3 linked regions of the Macaca mulatta genome follow. The protein of the gene in region 3 interacts with the protein of the main gene of each other region in a pairwise test. Links are inferred from orthologs where the notes say so. Each region holds a gene or a part of one and is shown on either strand. Other genes may lie near its edges.

Region 1 (7,872 bases), on a different chromosome or scaffold from region 3:
GGCTATCATTATATAAATTCACATTTGTTGAAAAAATAATCATGTTGACTGGGGCTTTACTAAACAAATTGTTCATAGAACTAAAGATTTGTCTTTTGCATATATAAAAAAAAGTTAATGAAAAAATGCCCAGACTAAAAGAGAAAGAAAAAGGAATCCCATTACCCTAGCAAGCCATCTATTTTGCTTTCCTTATCCTCTGAAAAGATTACTGATGAAGAGTCAGATGTTGATTTTAGTTCTCATTACAATTCTTGAGCAAGTCATCATATTTGCTGGTATATAAGACATATTTAAATATTAAACAGGAACATTTTGGTCAGGCACAGTGGTTCACACCTACTGTAATCGCAGCACTTTCAGAGGCCAAAGTGGGCAGATAGCTAGAGCCCAGGAATTCAAGATCAGCCTAGGCAACATGGTAAAACCCCGTCTTAAAAAATAAATAAACAGCCCAGGCACGGTGGCTCACGCTTGTAATCCCAGTACTTTGGGAGGCCGAGGCTGGCAGATCACGAGGTCAGGAGATCAAGACCATCCTGGCTAACATGGTGAAATCCCGTCTCTATTAAAAATATTAAAAAATAGCTAGGTGTGGTGGCGGGCGCCTGTAGTCCCAGCTACTCGGGAGGCTGAGGCAGGAGAATGGTGTGAACCCAAGAGGCGGAGCTTGCAGTGAACCGAGATAGTGCCACTGCACTCCAGCCTGGGCAACAAAGCAACACTCCGTCTCAAAATAAAATTAAAATTTTTTCTTTTTTTTTTTTTTTTTTTGAGACGGAGTCTCGCTCTGTCGCCCAGGCTGGAGTGCAGTGGCGCGATCTCGGCTCACTGCAAGCTCCGCCTCCTGGGTTTACTCCATTCTCCTGCCTCAGCCTCCTGAGTAGCTGGGACTACAGGCGCCCGCCACCGCGCCCGGCTAATTTTTTGTATTTTTAGTAGAGACGGGGTTTCACCGTGGTCTCGATCTCCTGACCTTGTGATCCGCCCGCCTCGGCCTCCCAAAGTGCTGGGATTACAGGCGTGAGCCACCGCGCCCAGCCAAAAAAATTTTCTAAAAGAAAAGCACTTTAAGAAAGTATTTCATCATGCATGTGCTAAAGGCAATTTTAAAGTGCTTTGGTAAAGGAAAAATTAATTATATTAATATAGAGTATGCTATGAAGAATTTTTTTTTTTTTTTTTAAGACAGGTTCTTGTTCTGTTGCCCAGGTCAGAACATAGTGGTACAATCATAGCTCCCTGCAGCCTTGAATTCCTGGGCTCAACTGATCCACCTGCCTCAGCTTCCCAAAGCTGGGATTACAGGTGCATGCTACCATGCCCTACTAATTTTTTTTGGAAGAAATGGGGTCTTACTTCCCAGGCTAGCAGAATTCTATTAACAAAATACAACATAAAAATCACATAGCTAGCCCGGGCATGATGGCTTATGCCTGTAATCCCAGCACTTTGGGAGGCCAAGGCAGGTGGATCACCAGAGGTCAGGAGTTCAAGACCAGCCTGGCCAACATGGTGAAACCCTGTCTCTACTAAAAATACAAAAATTAGCCAGGCATGGTGGTGGGTGCCTGTAATCCCAGCTACTCAGGAGGGTGAGGCAGGAGAATCGCTTGAACCGGGGAGGCGGAGGTTGCAGTGAGCGGAGATTGTGCCATTGCACTCCAGCCTGGGCGACAAGAGCAAAACTCCGTCTTAAAAAAGAAAAAAAAAAAACAAAAAACACATAGCTAAAAAGAAATATTCATGTCAATGGATACTAAAAAAGAACAAATAACAAAATATATTAGGTTTATTGGTAAATGAAGTCCCACACCACACATATAGTAATCTTGTGAATATAGGTAACCAAAAAGCAAACTGTGAAATAAAGTGTCATTAATTTGAAATTCCACGTAGGAATTAATTAGTTCAGACAAAGCACAGTACTTATAAACAAATGTGTCAGTGGAAATTAATTTACTGGGCCGGGCGCAATGGCTCACGCTTATAATCTGAGCATTTTGGGAGGCGAGCAGATCACCTGAGACCAGGAGTTTGAGAACAGCCTGGTCAACATGGTGAAACTCCGTCTCTACTAAAAATACAAAATTTAGCTGGGTTTCCAGAAGGTTTTCAATTTACTTTGCCCATATCCATCAGAGGAATAACTATCTATAGTAGCTATAGATAGTAACAGTAAATGAGCATTGACTTCAACTTAAAGTCATCAGCTGCATTGGCCCCTAACAAGAGAGAAAGCCTGTCCTTTGAAGCTTTTTTTTTTCTTTTTTTTGGATGGAGTACAGTGGTACCATCACAGCTCACTACAGCCTTGACATCCCAGACTCAAGTGATCCTCCCACCTCAGCCTTCCAATTAGCTGGACCACAGGTGCACACTATAATGCCCATCTAATTTTTAAATGTTTTGTAGAGATCGGTTCTTGCTATGTTGCCCAGGCTGGTCTTGAACTCCTATGCTCAAGCAATCCTCCCACCTTGGTCTCCCAAAGTGCTGGGATTACACGTGTGAGTCACTGTGACCAGCTCCTTTCAAGCCAGGTAATACTTGTCCTTTCTACCTATGAAAGTCTGAGATGGCATCTTCTTCCAATAGAAGGCTGTTTCATCTGCACTGAAAATCTGTTGTTTAGTGTACCCACTTTCATTTTCTGCAGCTTCTGCATCAGTACTTGCTGTTTCACTTTGGACTTTTGTTATAGAGAAGGTTTCTTTCCTTAAATCTCAAGAACCAACCTCTGTTTTTTTTTTTAGATAGTCTTGCTCTGTCACCCCGGCTGGAGTGTGGTGGCACAATCACAGCTCCACTGTAGCCTCGACCTCTATGGCTCAAGCCAGCCTTCCTTCTCAGCCTCCCAAGCAGCTGGGACTATAGGTGTGCACCACCACATCCGGCTAAATTGTTTTGTATTTTGTAGAGACAGCATTTCACCATGTTGCCCAGGCTGGTCTCAAACTCCTGGGTTCAAGCAATCCACCCACCTCGGCCTCCCAAAGTGCTGGGGCTACAGGCATGAGCCATTGCACCTAGCCAACATTTGCTACTTTCAAACTTCTGCAGCTTCCTCACCTCTCAGCCTTCACAGAATTGAAGAGAGTTAGGGCCTTGTTCTGGATTAGGCTTTGGTTTAAAGGAATGCTGTGGCTGGTTTGATCTTCTACTCATACCACTCAAACTTCCTCCATATCAGCTTATAACTGGAGTAGCACTTTTAATTTCCATGTATTTGTTTGTTTGATGGAGTTTTGCTCTTGCTGCCCAAGCTGGAGTGCAATGGTGTGTTCTCAGTGCACTGCAACCTCTGCCTCCCGGGTTCAAGTGATTCTCCTGCCTCAGCCTCCCAAAGAGCTGGAATTACAGGTGTGTGCCACCATGCCCGGCTAATTTTGTATTTTTAGTAGAGACGGGGGTTCACCATGTTGGTCAGGTTGGTCTTGAACTCCTGACCTCATGTGATCCACCCACCTCAGCCTCCCAAAGTGCTGGGATTACAAGCGTGAGCCACCGCGCCCGGCCCCATTTTTTTCTTCATATTCACAATTTGGCATGACTTCACATGCCTTCCCAGCTACTCGGGAGGCTGAGGCAGAATGGTGTGAACCTGGGAGGCAGAGCTTGCAGTGAGCCGAGATCGCGCCACCGCACTCCAGCCTGGGCAACAGAGTGAGGCTCCATCTCAAAAAGAAAAAAATCAAACCAACAAAAAAAAAGGAAATGCTGTCAACAGACTTGCTCAACAAGTACATGTCAGTTCCACGCTCCTCAGTCTCATAAAGTCAGGGACTAGAGACCAATCTGTAATTATCAATACGTACCTGCCTTTGAGTGAACCTTCAATGCCAACTAGGAAGGGCGCTTCCAAAACGACGTTATTTGTAACTCCTAGGAACACAAACACGGGTCAGAACTCATACTCTGCGGGCCTTGAAATGGAAAATCTCTCCTCTAGACAGACTCATCCCCGCCATAAATGTCAGGAGACTCCCCAGTTCCCTGCCCCATCCCCAGGCCAAGGAGTTATGTGCTTCCAAATTTTCATTCCGTTTTCTTCCCCAGGTGGTTCTCTGCCACCCGGTGGAGAAGGCGGGAACAACCTCTCGGGCTAGCCTCTGCCTTTCCCGAACGCCTCACTGCACTCACTGGAGAAGACCACGGCCCCAAGGGACCGCGACAGGTCCCAGGCGAGGTGCACCGAGTCGGCGAGCACGGCGTGGCATTGTGCGCACTGGAAAACAGCGCACCTCTCAGGCTGCAGCCAAGACGGCAGCTGCGAGACGGCGGCCGGCTCCTCAGCCCCCAGCCCTGCGGGGCCGAGCGGCGAGGACCCCTTCACCACCTGTGTATCCCACTCCATGGAGGTCGTAAAAGATGCTTCGTCAATCGCCCTCTCAGTGCCATCACAAAAGTCACCCTGGGGCGGCGTTGCACAAGGGGAGCGATGCCGCCGCGGCTGAAACGCCATCTTCTCTCAGCCGGCGCCGTCGTTTCGAATACACGCCAGGCCCCGCCCCAAGCACAGCTCCTGCGTCCTCATTGGACATCGTGGGCAATCCAAGCACTGGAGTCCCAGTCCGCGCACTCGTTACCTGAACCGGCCTTACAGGCCCTTCGGCGCCTGCGTATTCGTGAAGTGTGAGAAAAGCGCGCGACTGTTGGGACGGGAAATCAGCCTTTCTATTGGTCAGGGTTAGAAACCCCGCCTTTGAGGCATTTTCAACCAATGGAAGCGCGGCATTCTTCATTTAAACTGTCTATAAATTTCAGCTTAGTCAAAGTTAAGAGTGGCGCCAGGGATTTGAACCTCGCTTACGAGACTTGGTGATCCATCTTCTGAGTATCACCGGGATTTTGAATCGCGATGATCATCCCCTCCCTAGAGGAGCTGGACTCCCTCAAGTACAGTGACCTGCAGAACTTAGCCAAGAGTCTGGGTCTCCGAGCCAACCTGCGGGTACGACGCTGGCGGGGCAGTTCCCTGGGCGGGCGCGGCGGGAGTAGCGGCCTCAGGGAGATGCGGTGCGAAGGGACCGAGCGGGAAGCCCGGGGACTGAAGCAGCCGTCCCTGCCCCTCGGGCAGTAGATGTGGTTCACGGTGGTCCCAGTTAGAACTCTGATAAACGGAAGAGGAACTGTAGTTTTCACCTCATTTTGAAGCTGGCTTGTCTGGGTGCTCACATGATAAGCCTCTGTTCCGAGGGGTGGTTTGTTGTTTTTCGTTTTTTGTGGTTTTTTTTTTTTTTTTGAAATTACTTTATACCTCTCAGGTCATCGATTACGAAACGCAGGCCCAGAAAGCAGAAGGGGTGTCGTTAATCGTTAGACAATTAAGTAAATAATTGGCTCAGCTTCTAGAAAACCCCACACAGACTTCAGTGATTTGTAATATTGCCGATAATCTCTTGATACTTTATTGATGGACCTGTCAGGGGGAAAGAAAAAATCTACTTTTAGGGGACCACCTCCTTGGGTAAATTTTTATAACTCAGCCCTGATCTAGTATACTCATGTGCTTATTGATGACTGTTGTGGTGATGGTATCTATCAAAACCAGTAAGGTCTTTGACTCCGAGGCTACAAGATGTTAGGGGAATTGGCCGGGCGCGGTGACTCATGCCTGTAATCCCAACACTTTGGGAGGCCAAGGTAGTTGGATCACCTGAGGTCAGGATTTCGAGACCAGCCTGGCCATTAAAAAATTAGCCGGGCGTGGTGGCACACGCCTGTGATCCCAGCTACTCGCCTGTGATCCCAGCTACTCGGGAGGCTGAGGCAGGAGAATCGCCTGAACCTGGGAAGCCAAGGTGGCAGTGAGCCAAGATCGCACCCACTGCACTCCAACCTCGGTGACAGAGCGAGACTCAGTCTCAAACAAAACAAAAACAAACAAACAAAAAACAAGATGTTAGAAGATTTGGGGATTCAATGTAGGATAGCGGTTTTATATATTTTGTTAATAGTTGAGACTTCCCACATAATACTGCTGTATGCTCTCTAGGTTTGTCCTGCAGGCTATGATACTGACACTGAATAAATGCCTAAATCAGTCGTCACAAATGTTTTTCTTTTCTTTTTTTTTTTTTCTTTGAGACAGACTCTTACTCTGTCTCCCGGTCTGGAGTGCAGTGGCGCAATCTCGGCTTACCACAACCTCCACCTCCCGAGTTCAAGCGATTCTCCTGCCTCAGGCTCCTGAGTAGCTGGGATTACAGGCGCGTGTCACCATGCCCGGCTAATTTTTGTATTTTTAGTAGAGACTGGAGTTCACCATGTTGGTCAGGCTGGTCTCGAACTCCTGATCTCATGATACGCCCGCCTCAGCCCCCCAAAGTGCTGGGATTACAGGCGTGAGCCACCACGCCCGGCCTAAATTGTTTAAACAAAATAATCAGGGCCTAAGTGCCTGTTGGGGCTGAATGACCAAAGGGTTTTCCTTGTGGATATTTCTGGGCTATAGTGGTTTGTGGCTCCCCTATACTTTGTAAACAAAGCCTTAATATCTCAGCCTAAATTCCTTAGGCTTTTTTGCTGCCTAGCTAGAATCTTTTATCCACGGCTGCATCCCTGAACACTTGGAACTTTTATCTGTCTTTGTCCCATTGCTCATTTTGACCCTTTGGCCTCAGATCACCTTCTTTCTCCTTTATCTGCCTGACTCTGTGTGTGTGTGTGTATTTTTAGTAGAGATTGGGTTTCACCATCTTGCCCAGGCTGGTCTTGAACTCCTGGGCTCAAGCGATCCTCCGGCCACCACGGCCTCCCAAAGCCCTGGGATTATAGGCGTGACCCACCACGCCTGGCCCATATCAAGTATTTATAGGTGAAATGTTACGATACCTGTAAAATTTGCTGTAGAATACTCAAGGAAAAAGAGGGAAACTAGATGAAGTAAGAACGCAGAATGTTAATAATTACTGAAACTGCTAATAGGTACATGGGGGGATTGCACTATTCTCTCTACTTTTGTAGAAATTTTCCATAATAAGATGTTTTAAATTAAAAACTCTTGGTACAACCCAGGTGCTCATTAAGTCAATTGCCTTTTGAAATTGTAGTACGTAGCAAAAAAATTTATAAATTGCTCTAATTATCAAGATTTGATTAAAATGAAACACTACAATTTAAATAAATTAAATAAATTTTACTAGTATAAATATACTAGTATAATAGTGTAAATACTATTTCAGTTTAATCAAATCTTGATAATTTTACTAGTATGATATTATTAAAAATAAATTTATGGCCGGGCATGGTGGCTTGCGCCTGTAATCCCAGCATTTGGGAGGCCGAGGCAGGTGTATCACCTGAGGTCAGGAGTTTGAGACCAGACTGGCCAACATGGCAAAACCCCATCTCTACTAAAAATACAAAAATTAGCCGGGCGTGGTGACGGGCACCTGTAATCCCAGCTACTAGGGAGGCTGAGGCAGGAGAATTGCTTGAACCCAGGGAGGCAGACGCTGCAGTGAGCCAAGATCATGCCATTGCACTCCAGCCTGGGCAACAAGAGGGAAACTCTGTCTAAAAAATAATAATAATAATAAATAAATTTATAAGAGATAATATTAGCTCTTTTGAGAGACTTCTCTTAATGGTAAAGCAAATTGAAGGAACCAGTTATTATTAGTGTGGCGACTAATTATTAGTATGGCGACTATTATTATTAGTGTGGCGACTGGTCCTTTTGTCACTCATGCCCTCACTTCCTTTCTTACCAGCTTAAATTACAAACTCTGGCACTATTTCCACTTCCTTGCACCTCCCTATACTCACCTGGCAAAACCCAAGCCTGATTAAACCCAACTATGTGCTTAATCTTTGCCTATACCTCTGCAGCTAACTCTAGCTGGAGAAAACACCTAACTTTGTTGA
Region 2 (7,557 bases), on a different chromosome or scaffold from region 3:
GGAGAAGTTGGGGGATAGGGACTGACCAGGAGAGCTTGTGCTGGGAGAGGAAGGAAATGGCAGGAGAGGGTATTTGGTATTAGTTTGCTATCACTCCAGTTTGTCTATCAGAGCCTTTACTCTCAGCCTCCCTGGGCCTACTACCTTCAGCTTCCTTCCCTATCTGCCCCCAGCTGATTGGCATCCAGGATGGGTACCTATCACTGCTCCAGGACAGTGGGGAGGTACGAGAGGACCTTCGTCTCCCTGAGGGAGACCTTGGCAAGGAGATTGAGCAGAAGTACGACTGTGGAGAAGAGATCCTGGTATGGTGCCTCCCTGCTTTTTCTTTTCTTTTTTTTTTTTGGAGATGGAGTCTTGTTCTGTTGCCCAGGCTAGAGTGCAGTGGCGCGATCTCGACTCACTGCAAGCTCTGCCTCCCGGGTTCTCGCCGTTCTCCTGCCTCAGCCTTCTGAGTAGCTGGGACTACAGGAGCCCGCCACCACACCCGGCTAATTTTTTGTATTTTTAGTAGAGACAGGGTTTCACCATGTTAGCCAGGATGGTCTTGATTTTCTGACCTCGTGATCTGTCCACCTTGGCCTCCCAAAGTGCTGGGATTACAGGCGTGAGCCACCACGCCCGGCCCCCTCCCTGCTTTTGTGCTCAGCTTTGTTCTGTACGTTTCTTCCTGAGCTCAGACATCTCCTGGCTCTCTCTCTTGCTCCTCCAGATCACGGTGCTGTCTGCCATGACAGAGGAGGCAGCTGTTGCAATCAAGGCCATGGCAAAATAACTGGCTCCCAGGTGAGTGTGACAAATCCCTCACTGTCCCCTTCACATTTTGTTGTCCTCAGCAGATCTGCTCTAGTCTTAATTGTTCCAGGCTTACTTTGTGCCCCTAGCCTGGCCTTGTCCTCCCTATCCTTCCCGTTGAAGGTATTATCCTATCTTACTAATTTCTCTCTCCTACCTAGGGTGGCGATGGTGGCAGCAGTGATCCTCTGAACCTGCAGAGGCCCCCTCCCCCAGCCTGGCCCGGCTCTGGCCTGGTTGTAGGCTGGACTCCTCCTACACAAATTTATTTGACGTTTTATTTTGGTTTTCCCCACCCCTTCAATCTGTCGGGGAGCCCCTCCCCTTCACCTAGCTCCCTTGGCCAGGAGCAAGCGAAGCCGTGGCCTTGGTGAAGCTGCCCTCCTCTTCTCCCCTCACACTACAGCCCTGGTGGGGGAGAAGGGGGTGGGTGCTGCTTGTGGTTTAGTCTTTTTTTTTTTTTTTTTTTTTTTTTTTTTTTTTTTTTTTAAATTCAATCTGGAATCAAAGTGGTGGATTCTGGCAAATGGTCCTTGTGCCCTCCCCACTCAGCCCTGGTCTGGTCCCCTGTTGCCCATAGCCCTTTACCCTGAGCACCACCCCAACAGACTGGGGACCAGCCCCCTCCCCTGCCTGTGTCTCTCCCCAAACCCCTTTAGATGGGGAGGGAAGAGGAGGAGAGGGGAGGGGACCTGCCCCCTCCTCAGGCATCTGGGAGGGCCCTGCCCCCGTGGGCTTTACCCTTCCCTGCGGGCTCTCTCCCCGACACATTTGTTAAAATCAAACCTGAATAAAACTACAAGTTTAATATGAAGCCCCCAACTCAGCTGCTTATTTGAATTAAATGGGTATATTTGGAAGCTACAAAAAGACTGAACTCTGCCACTGAGTTCATGGAACCCGCTGTCTATCACTGACTTGCTGTGGACCTGCCAGTCATCCCCCCACCCCCCAAGCAGCCTTGACCTATTCCAGACAGTTGGGTGGGAGGCAACACAAACAGCAGCAGCCAGGGTCAGTGGCAGGTAGATTTTATTGGCCTGGGACACACGGGGGGTATCCTCACCCACAGTGGGGCAGGGGGCATGATGTTGAAGATATAATCTGATCGTCACTTGTGGTAGAATCGCGGGTTCTGGCTGTGTTGGATGAAGGGGAGCCGAGGGCCAGGTTGGCTGGTAGCTGCAAAGCCCGACTGGCGGTGGTGATGAAAAGAGGGCTTTGTCACTGGGCGTACTCTCCCACTTAATGCCCTACTGGTAACCACCCCCAGAGAGGAAGAAAAACCAGGTGATGTGGGCCACCGGTCCTACCTAATCCTGCTTTTCTGGATCCCTAGTGTAAGGATTCTGACAGGTAAACTTTATTATCATTCTTACCTTTCCTGCTGGTTGCATCTGCACAGGGAGCTGTGGGGAAGCAAGGAGTCCAGGGGCTGGATGCAGAGCCTGGGGGTGCATGGGGCGCAGAGAGGACTGCAGAGAACAGAGTCAGGGCCTGAGGCATACTGAAGCTCCCCTTAACATATCCCTAACCCTGACCTCCCAAGGTGCCATACTCACTGAGTCGGAGAAGCCAGTCTGCTGGTTAGCATGTTCCATCTGCTTTTGCAAGGACAGGGCACCACCAGGCTGGAGGAAACCTACGTGGGGAAGAGGGGCATGTGAGATGAGAATGAAACAGGGAGGGGAGGACCCAGAGAGCTAGAGCTCCTGCATGGGATGTTATCACCTGTCTGAGTGGGCTGAAAGTGGCCGTGCACGGCATAGGGCTGTGGCTGTGGCTGAGATAGGTACTGCACTGTAGGGAATGCTGAAGGAGCTGAGAAAGGAAAAGACAGAGCCATTAAAACCTTTTACTCAATGGCATTCCTCCTTTGACGTTGAGGAAGGCCAAGCCCCATCCCTCCTATTACTCACCTCTGAGCTGCTGACTAGGACTATAAGCTGGCTGTGTGGGCCCATAGTGAGGTGGGGGCTGAGCAGTCCCATAGGCACCACCAGGACTGCCTTGGAATTGTCCATGCTCTGGTGTCCCCGCAAAAGCAGCTGCTGAGCCCACATAGTGCCGGGTCTAAGGAGGGAGAATGAGAATTCGCCTATAAACTTGAAAGCTGAAACCCAGTGACTTGTGTATATCTGTATGCCGCATTTCCCCCTAAACTTAAGTGCTTGATATGTTTGTGACTTGAATACTGGTGGCAAGGATGCATGGATGGAAGCAGTAGGGGCTGGGCATCCAATCCTACTCTCACCGTAAGCACTTGGGGTCCAAACATTTGTTTGGCTCTGTCAGCTGCCATGAGGGTGCCTGGGCGATTGTGTCCTCCAGGGCTCCCTAGAAAGGGAGAAGGGCTTCATGATGCTGAAATGGGAGGCTGCAACCTGTAAGAAGGCCGGTTCCATCAGGTGGTCTCTTTAGTCCTCACCCTGCATGCTGAGGAGATGAGTTCCTGTGTGGACAGTCAGGCTCTGCTGGTATGCAGCTGATGTCAGGGTGGTCAGGTCACTGGAGTGAGAGGAAGGCAGGTCAAAGCTAAGGACAGATGCCTTCTCTTTCGCCATTAAACACTAGTTCTTTTATTACTTGATCCCAGTTCCACTTGGCCCCCATTTCAGTTTTTAGCACTCTGATCCCACCTCTGTTCCTTTCGCCTCCGTTTTTCTTCCTCATGTAAAACTTTCTTGAGCTGCAGGAAAAGCTGATGCTTCTCTTCCTGTAGGGCCAAAAGCTTCTCCTCCAACTTCAGAATCTGGGAGGGAGTGGGAAGAGAAGATGAAGGCAGGGAGAGTCAAGGGAAGAAATCAAAGCTGGGAGAGTTCAAGGGACTGCTTACTTGTTCCTTGGTCTCCTCTAGTGACATTCTCTCTTCCATCTCCTTTTTCTTCCTTCTCTCCTGTTCTTCCTTCATCTTCTGTTCCATCATCTTATCCACCTCTTCTTCCTCTGGAGAATCAGGCAGAATGAAGAAGAGGCAGGGTAGTGAAAACAGTTCCAACGTTAGATTGAAGACCAGCAAAACCCAGTCATCCCAACACGCCTGTGCGCTCTTTGCCTCGAGGGGACAAGCTCCCCCATCGCTGCAATAGGGAACGGAGAGGCTTTATCAGGTGCTCTCCAAGGTCCTTCCCGTCTCAAGGGTTCTGGAGCGTGGACCAGGACGCTTAAATCCCACCACAACGGGGCTATTCCTTCCCTCCTCTGCGCTCGGCAGCGGGCTCACTGGTTGGCCGCTGGGTTGAGGCCAACCCTGAGGTACAGGAGCCATTCTGGGCCGTGTGTCCCCCCGCTATGGCCCCGGCTCACCCTGCCGCTTGCGCTCCCGCTCCATCATAATGTGCCGGTGCAGCGCCCTGGCCATGGCGTTGGAAAGCTTGGGGCGCTCCAGGAGTGCGGGCATGGTGCTGCCGTGGGCGCTCGGGCCGTGGGCGCCCGGCTCTGTCTCTGACTGCCAGACCTCAGACGGCGCCTGCGGGGAGGCGGGCGCTCAGAGGGGACCGCGCCCGGCCCAGGCGGAAGCCCGTCCGCCCGACCCGCTAGCCGCCCCGGTCACGTGTCCCAGGAGCCCGCCACCCGGCCGGGCCCGCAGCCCCCGCTCCACCGCGCGCACGGGCGGCGCCGGGATCCCCGACTCGGTGCTGCCGCTCCCTGCCCAGCCAGCCCGGACGCCAGCCCTCCCTACCCGCCTTCTCTGCGCTTTCTCAGCAGCTCCGGCGCGCCCTGGCCCGTACGTCACATCCGGCGGCCCGGCCAAGTCCTTCCGGAGTCACGGCTGCGGCCGACCTCACGGGTTGGGTGAAAGAAAGCGGAAGCGCGCTGCGACGGGTGCCCGCGGCGTCCAAACCCCGTAGCCGGGAACGCGGGCGACGAGGGCTGTAAACTGGTCTTGGCATCCTCAGCTCTCTTTAATTTCGCGGGCCCACCTGGTGGCACCCCAGGGGACGCGGGCTCCGGGGAGGGGCGCGCGAGAGAGAGGCCGAGGCGGAGGCTCTGAGACGGTGTTTATTGGCTCCTTAGAAATCAGAGTCAGTAACAACTGTACAGAGGCCCCCATCTTCCGTGCGCCCACCCTTCCCCACTCCTGCCCGGTGGCCCCGGAAAAAGCAGCTTCATGTGGGCACAGGGAGAGACTCCTCTGGGATTCACAGTAACCAGAAACAAAAACGGAAATAAATTAAGTGATGTGGGGAAGGGGAGTAAAAGGGAGTCATGTTCCCCAAATCAGTGCATGAAGAGGGGTACCAGGGCCTGGAGCTGGGCTCCCACGGCTCCTCCCATCAGACGGAGTGCTGGGCCTCCAGACATGGAGCTGTGCCACTTGCCACCTACATCTGAGAGCCTGCCTACATGCTCCTGCGCGGCTGCCAAGCTCCAGCACCTGCGCATGCCACGAGTCACGGGAATGAGGTGGAGGCAGTCGCCAGAGTCCATGGGCCCGAGGCCCGACTGTGCTTGTAGTATTTGTGTGTCACCCCTCATTCCACCCGTACCAGCAGGGCATAGAGGAGTGTGGCCCCCTTCTCCTTAGTGACCCACTCAAGTTCGGCTGGACTGAAGTGAGGGTCAGGAGGTTCTCCAAGGGCAGCGGAAGGGGGTCCCGGGGTGTAGGAGCCAGGGCGCACACACACCTGGAACGCCACCTGAGCCTGGTGCGTCCGCTGGGATTTGGGGTCCCGGAATCTGTCAAACAGGAAAAAATAAGGGAGTGAAGCTTCTCTCCCCATCACCTCCCCCTTGCAAAGTCTGTTCCAACCACACAAGCCTTGCTGTACCTAGGAAATACTCCCGCCTTATAGGAGCTTCACTCTAGCTGTTCTTTCTACCTGAAATGTTCTTCCTCCCAAAGCCTGCTCAGCTACACCCTTCACTTCCTTCTTCAAGCCTTTGCTCGAATCTCTCCCACCTTCTTACGATGCCCACACCAGCCACACTGCTGTCTCCTTCGCCCCCCTCTTTCCTACGATGCCCACACCAGCCACACTGCTGTCTCCTTCGCCCCCCTCTTTCCTACGATGCCCACACCAGCCACACTGCTGTCTCCTTCGCCCCACTCTTTCCTACGATGCCCACACCAACCACACTGCTGTCTCCTTCGCCCCACTCTTTCCTACGATGCCCACACCAGCCACACTGCTGTCTCCTTCGCCCCCCTCTTTCCTACGATGCCCACACCAACCACACTGCTGTCTCCTTCGCCCCACTCTTTCCTACGATGCCCACACCAGCCACACTGCTGTCTCCTTCGCCCCACTCTTTCCTACGATGCCCACACCAGCCACACTGCTGTCTCCTTCGCCCCCCTCTTTCCTACGATGCCCACACCAGCCACACTGCTGTCTCCTTCGCCCCCCTCTTTCCTACGATGCCCACACCAACCACACTGCTGTCTCCTTCGCCCCACTCTTTCCTACGATGCCCACACCAGCCACACTGCTGTCTCCTTCGCCCCACTCTTTCCTACGATGCCCACACCAGCCACACTGCTGTCTCCTTCGCCCCACTCTTTCTTATGATGCCCACACCAGCCACACTTCTGTCTCCTTCGCCCCACTCTTTCTTATGATGCCCACACCAGCCACACTGCTGTCTCCTTCGCCCCACTCTTTCTTACGATGCCCACACCAGCCACACTGCTGTCTCCTTCGCCCCACTCTTTGTTTCCATAGTCCTTACTTATTACCTTTAAAAATACTAAATACTGGCCGGGCACGGTGGCTCACGCCTGTAATCCCAGCGCTTTGGGAGGCTGAGGCGGGTGGCTCACGAGGTCAGGAGATCGAGACCAGCCTGGCCAACATGGCAAAACCCTATCTCTACTAGAAAAATTAGCCGGGCTTGGTGGCACACGCCTGTAGTCCCAGCTACTCAGGAGAATGAGGCAGGAGAATCGCTTGAACCCGGGAGGTGGAGGTTGCAATGAGCCGAGATCATGCCACTGCACTCCAGCCTGGATGACAGAGCAGGACTCCGTCTCAAAAATAAATAAATAAATAATAAATACTTATTATGTATGAACATTATAGAGAGAAAAGGCAGAGGTTCCACAAGAGCAAGGTTCCTTTTCTTGCCCACTAGAAGAGTATATAAGTGGTATTTGTTCAATGAATGAAAAAAGGGCTGAGTTGGAGACTGGCAGCTAGCAAGAGGAGGTGAGAAAAGGGGAGGGCAAATCATGAAGACCCCAGTGGCTGCGCTCAGGCCCTCTTCATCCGAGCCCCTGGAGATCTCTCCCCACCCCTCCCAGTACTCACTGCACTTTGGAGGCCAGGGTCTCGGCCCCAGCATATTGAAGGGAGGGGGAAAGCAGCACAGGAGGGGGCTGCTCCTCCCGAGGAGGTGCACAGTTCTCGCCAGGCTCCTCGAACCCTACCCCAGGCTCTCCCTTCAAAGGACGGCAGCTCAGGATGGAAGCAGTACCTGGGAGGAGAACTGGGTCAAGATAGCCCTTTTTATTCCTCCACAGCCCCCCAGGCTCAGCCCACCTTGCATGGGCCTGCTCCCCAGTACCTGCTCCCAGCTCCCCTCGGTCCAGCACTCTCCGTACAGCTGCAACATTGCTCCCATGATAGGCCATGTGCCACTTCTTGGTTAGTGTCCCAGCCTCCAGGCGGGGATTCACTCTACGAGGTGGACAAGCAGGGCAGATAGAACGAAGGACACTGGCTCCCCAGTGGAGGAGCTTCACGAGGCTCTTCCTTAGGCAGGAAGTTCTATCACTTCTTCCATGCACCTTCTTGGGATCTCCATTTCTCCAGGGGGAAA
Region 3 (7,095 bases):
GTACAGTGGCACGATCTCAGCTCACTGCAAGCTCCGCCTCCCGGGTTCATGCCATTCTCCTGCCTCAGCCTCCCGAATAGCTGGGACTACAGGCGCCCGCCACCACGCCCGGCTAATTTTTTGTATTTTTAGTAGAGATGGGGTTTCACCGTGTTAGCCAGGAAGGTCTCGATCTCCTGACCTCCTGATCCATCCGCCTTGGCCTCCCAAAGTGCTGGAATTACAGGGGTGAGCCACCGCGCCCAGGCTTTTAATTTTAAAACAAAATAAAACATACAAAAGGCTAATTGAACAAAGGCAACCTAGGCAATGAGCTAATTCCAATATTTTAGGAAAACAGGAAATGTGAATATGGACTGCACTTCTGAAGCAGAATGATTCATCACCACTTTTTAAGTAAGTGTGTGATCCATGAACCACCAGCATTAGAATCACTGGAGGAGGAAAAAAAAAAAAAGTCTTGAGGTTCAGTTTAGACTCAAAATTCCTGGGAGGCACCTAGACGCCCGTATTTCTTATCAGGTCGTCCAGATAATATAACAGCACACGTTTGAGAACCCCACTAAAGGCTTTGAGGTCTATGACACACTATATATCCTACAGCAAATGACAACAGGCAACTGTCACCATTGTTCTTTGACTACTTGGAAAAGTAATGGAAAACGTAATACACTATATGCACGTAACAGTGAGTGAAAATTGAATGTATCTTAAAAAAAGAAAATACTCAATGCTGACTAAGGAGCCCTGGGAACTCTCTCCTGCCCTCCTGGTCAGACAGAGTTAATACAACCTTCTGAGTATTTGAATGTCTTAAGTACTTTTGTATTTAACATGGTGATTGCACATGTACATCTCTATCCTTAAAAAAATGTCTCAAACAAAGACGAAGTTTTATATACAAACTAACCAGTCAAAAATCCAAACTAAACCAGATAAAAGCTAAATGCCTAACAACGGAGGTAGGATCAAGCAATATAGGACAGCCACCCTCTGGAATTCTACACTCATTATAAATCTTCACAGTGAGTTTTTAATAATAAGAATGTTACTGAATTCACTGATGTAAGCTCCAGAAACACAGGAACATCATTTGGTTTACCAGTGTAGTGCCGTGAAGAGTGCCTGGCAGAGAAGGAACTTGGTAACTATTACTAAATATGGGAGTGTAATGAATAGGAACATGATATTAATAGTATTCATTACACTCCTATAAAATAAGTGAGAAAAGCAAGGTACAAGAAAAAAAAAAAAAGCCTAGCTAGAAGATCCAAAAAACCCTAGAACATGTTCAGTGATTAATTCTGGGGTGTGGCTCCTGTACCAGGTGTCCAAAGGTCCCCATACCTTGACTTGAGAAAGCTCCTTCTGGGGAGCAGTGAGCTTCTTGCTAATCCTGCCCTTGGCCTTCAACTCTTCCACGGTCTTGTAAGAGTATTTGGGCTTCTTCTTGCTTCCACTTGGGTCTTTCCTCCACTGGCTCAGCTCCTTCTGAAACTCCTGAACCAGAAGGATACAGTCAGATGCAGCAAACCACTTTTTACAACAGGTGAGACAGCTAAGACCATTAACAGATGTCACCATTCACTGTCTTAGATTTATTTCCAGGTTCTATATGAAGGAAGGAAAGGATGCACCTGCATGACACCAAAACTATCTAATGATAACTCCTTGACCCCATTTACCCTCTTACAAATAATGAGGTTCAGAAGGCAGGTGCACCAGACGGGAGGGAGAAACAAAAATAAAGGAAACAACATGTATTGAGCATCTACTATGGGCAGGCACTATACTAGTTTAAATGTACCTCATATAAAACTTAGAAATGCAATGTAAACGCTTTTTTAAGTACACAAAATCTTGTTTCTCACTTTAAAATGAAGATAAATAAGCAGGTCCTAACTCTCAAAGCAAAGGTATCTCTTATAATCAGGGTCTGCAAAATGTACCTGCCGTAGCTACAGGAGGAGCTACGGCAAGCTTGTCCAACCCGCAGCCCAGGACGGCTTTGAATGCGGCCCAACGCAAATTTGTAAACTTTCTTAGCGTGATGGTAGTAGAATCCAGCCCACAGAAGTTGGTTTTGGAGTTGTCATTATGTTTTTCTCATACTGGTTAAGACTTGTCATTTTTTTCTCTAAAAGTATCTACACATCTGGCTACTTTGGGAAAATCAGAGGATCAGGCAATACTAAGCCCACATCCTCATAAGCAACAATCACCTAGAGCTGAATAAAGATTTACCTTCTAGACAGGCTAAGGCCTCACCTCTGTGCCACAGTCCCCACCACTCTTTATTGTCTAGCATCTGGCTCATCTTACTTGCTTCTGTGGTGTGCCTGGCACCTGTAGGCTTCTAAGTCTGAGAACCCCTGACTCAGAGTGGTCAATCCCACATTATCAAATGACTGTGTCATCAAAAGGTCAGTGACAAGAAGAGTAACGTGTTTCTTTGCAGCATCCTGCTTTCCCCCATAAATTCAAATGGGAAAAGAGTAATACTTCAATCAACAAAGCTGGCCCCTTCTATCACTGGGGAAAAGGGACACACAGCTGCCAGCAGATGGCTCCCTGCTGCACTTGGGATGAAACCCAAGCACCTAAAAATGGCTGTCAAGGCCCATCTTGTGGCCCGCCCACCCCTCTGAATGCACTTCCTTCCCCTCTGCTTTGTGTACCACCCTCCCACCACAACGGCTTCCTTTATGGTTTCTTAACCGGCAAGCTCAGAGCCTCTCAGTGTCCTCAGGCTTCTCAGCTCACCCTTCTGCCAAGTCTCAACTGAAATGTTTCCTTTCCTCAAAGGTTTCCCTGACCAGCCTATTTATAAAAGTAGGTCAACACCACCTCCCAACCCCCAACCTTATTTTCTGTCTAGGCAGGTCCTAGCACCTTCTGCCATTTCAACTGCCACTTCCACACCATAGCTGCTTGTTTACTCTCTGTCCACCGTGCGCCCTCTCATCATGGTGCACCTAGCCTTCAGCCCAGCACCTGGCATATGGTACGTGTACAATAAACATCTGAGGACTAACAGAATGAAGGGATAAATGAACAGCCATTAGAAATGGACAGGACACCACCCACCCATGTCTCCTGACTTCCAGTTACCTCTTCAGCTTCTTCCTCTGAGTCAACCACAGGGAAGTCTTGCATTGACTGCGTGGTGCGCTCGGATCCATAAGCCCCCACAGCACCTTTTCCCTTTCTCTGCTTGGCTTCGATTGGGTTAATGATACCTGAGGAATTTCAGCAAAAGATAAAAAAAAGACAGTCTTATGATCACAGCAATTCATGTATGTGAATCAGCCACTCAGTGAAATGACAGTTTCTTGCTCCTTCCACAAAATAACACGCTACTCAAGGAGAGCTATTCTCTGCCCTCAGAACACTACTCTTGTCCCTTGTGATTTGAAACTTATGAGCATTTATGCTACCACAGAACAGTCTGCTGACTGGTTTATTTATATCCCAAATAGATTTCCATTTCTACTTGGATTGTTTCAGTGGACAAGAAAACAGAACACTACATTTATAACCGAGAACTCCAGCATACTAAATTCTACACTTCACTTCTTTGGAAGCCTCTATTAGGGAAAATGCAATAATTCAGATACTATATTGACTCTGACTGAAGTGAAGCTGTAATTTAATATAAGACTCATGTATTTTACTTAGGAGTTCCTATCTCCTATGTTTAACTTTTTTATAACAAGTTTAAGCCCTAGAAATAAATGTTGCTTTTCTCATAAAAGAGTTTACGAATAGGACCACAACATTTCAATGAAGATGTTGCCCCCCCTCCAAATTTTCCATCCCTGCCTCCCTTCCATTTAGTACAGCTGAAGTCTCAAATAAGAGCTATCCCTGGGCCAGGCATGGTGGCTCATGCTTGTAATCCTAGCACTTTGGGAGGCCAAGGTCTTGAACCAGCCTGGGCAACATAGTAAGACCCCATCTACAAAAAAAGAAAAAATTAGCCAGGCATAGCAGAGTGTGCCTGTCGTCCCAGCTACTCGGCAGGCTTGAGCCCAGGAGGTTGAGACGGCAGTAGGCTATGATCATGCCATGCCACTGCACTCCACCCTAGGTAACAGAGTGAGACCTTGTATCAAAAAAAGGAAAAAAGCTGTCCCCTCATTCTCATTCAGCGTATCCTTGCTTAAGTTCATGTATTTTTCATGTACCTAATGTTTTCAACACATAACCTGGATTTCACTTTAATAATTATTTAGAGGCCGGGCGCAGTGGCTCACACCTATAATCCCAGCACTTTGGGAGGCCAAGGAGGGTGGATCACTTGAGGTCAGGAGTTCGAGACCAGCCTGGCCAACATGGTAAAACCCCGTCTCTACCAAAAATACAAAAATTAGCTGGGTGTGGTGGCAGCTGCCTGTAATCCCTGCTACTCGGGAGGCTGAGGCAGGAAAATCGCTTGAACCAGGAGGCGGCGGTTGCAGGTGAGTCAAGATCGTGCCATAGAACTCCAGTCTGAGCGACAAGAGTGAAACTGTGTCTCAAAAAGTAATATTATTATTTAGAGACTCAAATTTGAATATGGAGGACACATTTGATTATATCTACTTGGCAATCATGCATAGGATATAGCTCAAGAAGAAGGGGAAATGTTCTTGTAGGAAGAATCCAAGTGTTTGGTTTGAGAGGCTTTGGTCTCAAGAAGATAAGAGTGTGACAGGGGCTGTGTCTCAGTGAGGCTGGCCATGAGAAGACAGGAGGAGACTGGGCTACTAGACGAAGATGGAAGTAACCAATGAAGGATTTGCTCAGCCAATTTTACAGCCATATGGCTCTAATTATTAAAAAAGCTAAACACAATGTTTTACTGATATTCCTGAAGGACAAATAACCGTTTCTGCAAAACTAAAACCCTTGTGAGTAGGGATGGCAAACTCAAATGACTTCGGGACCAAGAAAAGTTCCTGTGGGTTGGGGTGGAAGACAACAGGGGGCCGTGGAGACTGCCTCCAAGAGAAGACCATGTCCATTGTCCCAGGAGCAGCTCTCACTTGCCTCAACTAACTACTGCCAGGCAAAATCTAGAATTTTAGGTGAAATTGTCTGTTTTTTAAATATTAGCAACTAATTCATTTTTGTCTTTATTTATTCTATTTATTTATTTATTTATTTAGAGACTGAGTCTCACTCTATTGCCCAGGCTGGAGTGCAGTGGTGTGATCTCGGCTCACCGCAACCCCCACCTCCTGGGTTCAAGCGATTCCCCTGCCTCAGCCTCCTGAGTAGCTGGTCAGGACCAGAAAAAAAGCCTGTCTCCAACCTGTTTGCAGCCTATTTTACACCCTAACCCTTTTCTTCTTGTTGAAACAATTACTTATTTAACTTGAGCTTTGATAAAGCAAGGTAGCTTAGGAGTGCAAATGTCTTGTGCTGGCAAACCAGGCTAGAGAGAGTGAAAGTGCTTTTAAAAGGGAAAAGCAAACCTCCTCTCCCAATGCCCCTCTCCTTTCCTCTGCCTGCCCTCCATCACACAAGACGACCAAAGTGCAATACCTTGTGCATTCTTCCCGAGGCCCCGTCCAGGGACGTAGCCCATCTTCTGAAGAAGCTTCTGTCCAATTCCTTTTGTGTGTCTTTCCCAGCTGCCGAAGTCCATGAAAGATTTGGTTCCTCCTGCAAAACCTTTCTGGCTGGGCTTAAAATTGCCACCCTGCAAAGAAGAAAAATCAAAGCTTAGTTAATGGAAAAACAAAAAGAAGAAAAATCTAAGAAAGCTTGGCCAACAGGAAAATGGTCTAAGTTACACAGCACTATGAAAAGGGTCACAAGAACCAAAAATGTGTGTGATACGTGTCAGGAAGGAAGAGACTACACTACGCACTTCACAACTCACAGAAGCCTGCCACCAAAAGGAGATACTCACAAAATGCATTCCAGATAAGTTTCTCCCTGGCTAGAAAATGCTTGGGCCACAATGACATTTGAAGGATATTACTGGAGTCACAATCCTGCAATAAAGACTCTACCGTTTTTAACTTCCTTGGTCCAAAATCCTTAGGAAAGTCGTCCTGCTTAACAGGTCTCTCTTCATCATCAGAATCTTCCAACTCTGCCTCCTCCGCTGCCCCTTTCTTGAGTCCTGCACTGATGAAGTTGACCGGCGCAGAGTAGTCACGGGCCCTGCAGGCACAGAAACAAAGCCCCACGGGGTTGGTAAATAACTCTTCTCTCTGCAGCAATCCCTTTGCAGAAACTACGTGCTTGAAAACTCCTTAGAATGAACTTCATGGAAGGTTTTTTAAAAAAGTAACACATTTTTTAATGTGTCAAAATATCTAAAGGACCCCAGATTTGGCTTCCTGTAGTCACATTTAACATTTTATCTGACATATTCCTCTACAGCTGAAGAGTTATCACATCAATGTAGGGTTGATTATAAATCCAAAATATGATGTGATAATACAGTTTTCCTACATTTTAAAAAATTAATTTATCATAAAAAGCATTTGTTTTGAAAACTATTGCAAGTACAAAAATCCAACAGGAGCAGAGAGAAATTTTGATGGATAATCATAAATAAATAAAACCCACTGAAAGATTATACGAACGTAAAGCATATAACAATTATATTAATCAAACTCAGAAAAAGCTCCTATCCATTAAATTTATTGAATGTGAAAATTTCCAGCCAGGGCAACATACTAAGGCTTTGTCTCTATAAAAAAATAAATAAAAATTAGCCAGGCATGGTTGTGCAAGCCTTTGGTCCCAACTACACGGGAAGCTGAGATGGGAGGATTGCTTGAGCCCAGGAAGTTGAAGCTGCAGTGAGCTATAATCATGTCACTGTGCCCCAGCCTGGGCAAAAGAGTAAGACCATGTCTCAAAAGAAAAGAAAAAAAGAAAATTACACTAAAGTCCCTTAAGAAATAAGAAATTAACTCTGTAAAATGAAATATATTGATTTAAACTCTGACTGCTTCAAGCATTTACATTAAGCCATTAACCTCAGATCCTTTTTGTATAAAATAAAATTGATATATTTGTACTGTGTGGTTTAAAAAAGAAAAAATTACAACAAAAAACCCTGGAGCTGGGTACAGTGGCTCACACCTGGAA

Evidence for each region.
Region 1: the proteins of TFIP11 (region 3) and OIP5 interact in binary tests that used the Homo sapiens proteins (3 or more experiments, as listed by UniProt). The two-hybrid records come from large-scale screens. The link is inferred for Macaca mulatta from reciprocal best matches to the Homo sapiens genes TFIP11 and OIP5.
Region 2: the proteins of TFIP11 (region 3) and GPS2 interact in binary tests that used the Homo sapiens proteins (3 or more experiments, as listed by UniProt). The two-hybrid records come from large-scale screens. The link is inferred for Macaca mulatta from reciprocal best matches to the Homo sapiens genes TFIP11 and GPS2.

Annotation. Positions count from the first base shown.
Region 1 is NC_133412.1:18,675,689-18,683,560, forward strand, and holds the start of OIP5 (protein Mis18-beta), read right to left. Parts: upstream 4,513-7,872; 5' UTR 4,466-4,512; coding exon 4,144-4,465; exon of another isoform or gene 4,060-4,143; intron 3,886-4,059; coding exon 3,819-3,885; intron 1-3,818. Other genes in the region: NUSAP1 (nucleolar and spindle-associated protein 1), read left to right, coding at 4,862-4,954. UniProt on the Homo sapiens protein: Required for recruitment of CENPA to centromeres and normal chromosome segregation during mitosis.
Region 2 is NC_133421.1:8,804,614-8,812,170, forward strand, and holds GPS2 (G protein pathway suppressor 2), read right to left. Parts: upstream 4,513-7,557; 5' UTR 4,406-4,512; intron 4,265-4,405; 5' UTR 4,196-4,264; coding exon 4,102-4,195; intron 3,742-4,101; coding exon 3,632-3,741; intron 3,548-3,631; coding exon 3,435-3,547; intron 3,304-3,434; coding exon 3,224-3,303; intron 3,133-3,223; coding exon 3,050-3,132; intron 2,869-3,049; coding exon 2,715-2,868; intron 2,617-2,714; coding exon 2,527-2,616; intron 2,438-2,526; coding exon 2,358-2,437; intron 2,271-2,357; coding exon 2,175-2,270; intron 1,991-2,174; coding exon 1,907-1,990; 3' UTR 1,811-1,906; downstream 1-1,810. Other genes in the region: EIF5A (eukaryotic translation initiation factor 5A-1), read left to right, coding at 174-305, 713-775; NEURL4 (neuralized-like protein 4), read right to left, coding at 5,271-5,475, 7,047-7,212, 7,303-7,415. UniProt on the Homo sapiens protein: Key regulator of inflammation, lipid metabolism and mitochondrion homeostasis that acts by inhibiting the activity of the ubiquitin-conjugating enzyme UBE2N/Ubc13, thereby inhibiting 'Lys-63'-linked ubiquitination.
Region 3 is NC_133415.1:25,050,670-25,057,764, reverse strand, and holds part of TFIP11 (tuftelin-interacting protein 11), read right to left. Parts: intron 6,157-7,095; coding exon 6,003-6,156; intron 5,687-6,002; coding exon 5,530-5,686; intron 3,240-5,529; coding exon 3,112-3,239; intron 2,251-3,111; exon of another isoform or gene 1,501-2,250; coding exon 1,348-1,500; exon of another isoform or gene 1-1,347. UniProt on the Homo sapiens protein: Involved in pre-mRNA splicing, specifically in spliceosome disassembly during late-stage splicing events. Intron turnover seems to proceed through reactions in two lariat-intron associated complexes termed Intron Large (IL) and Intron Small (IS).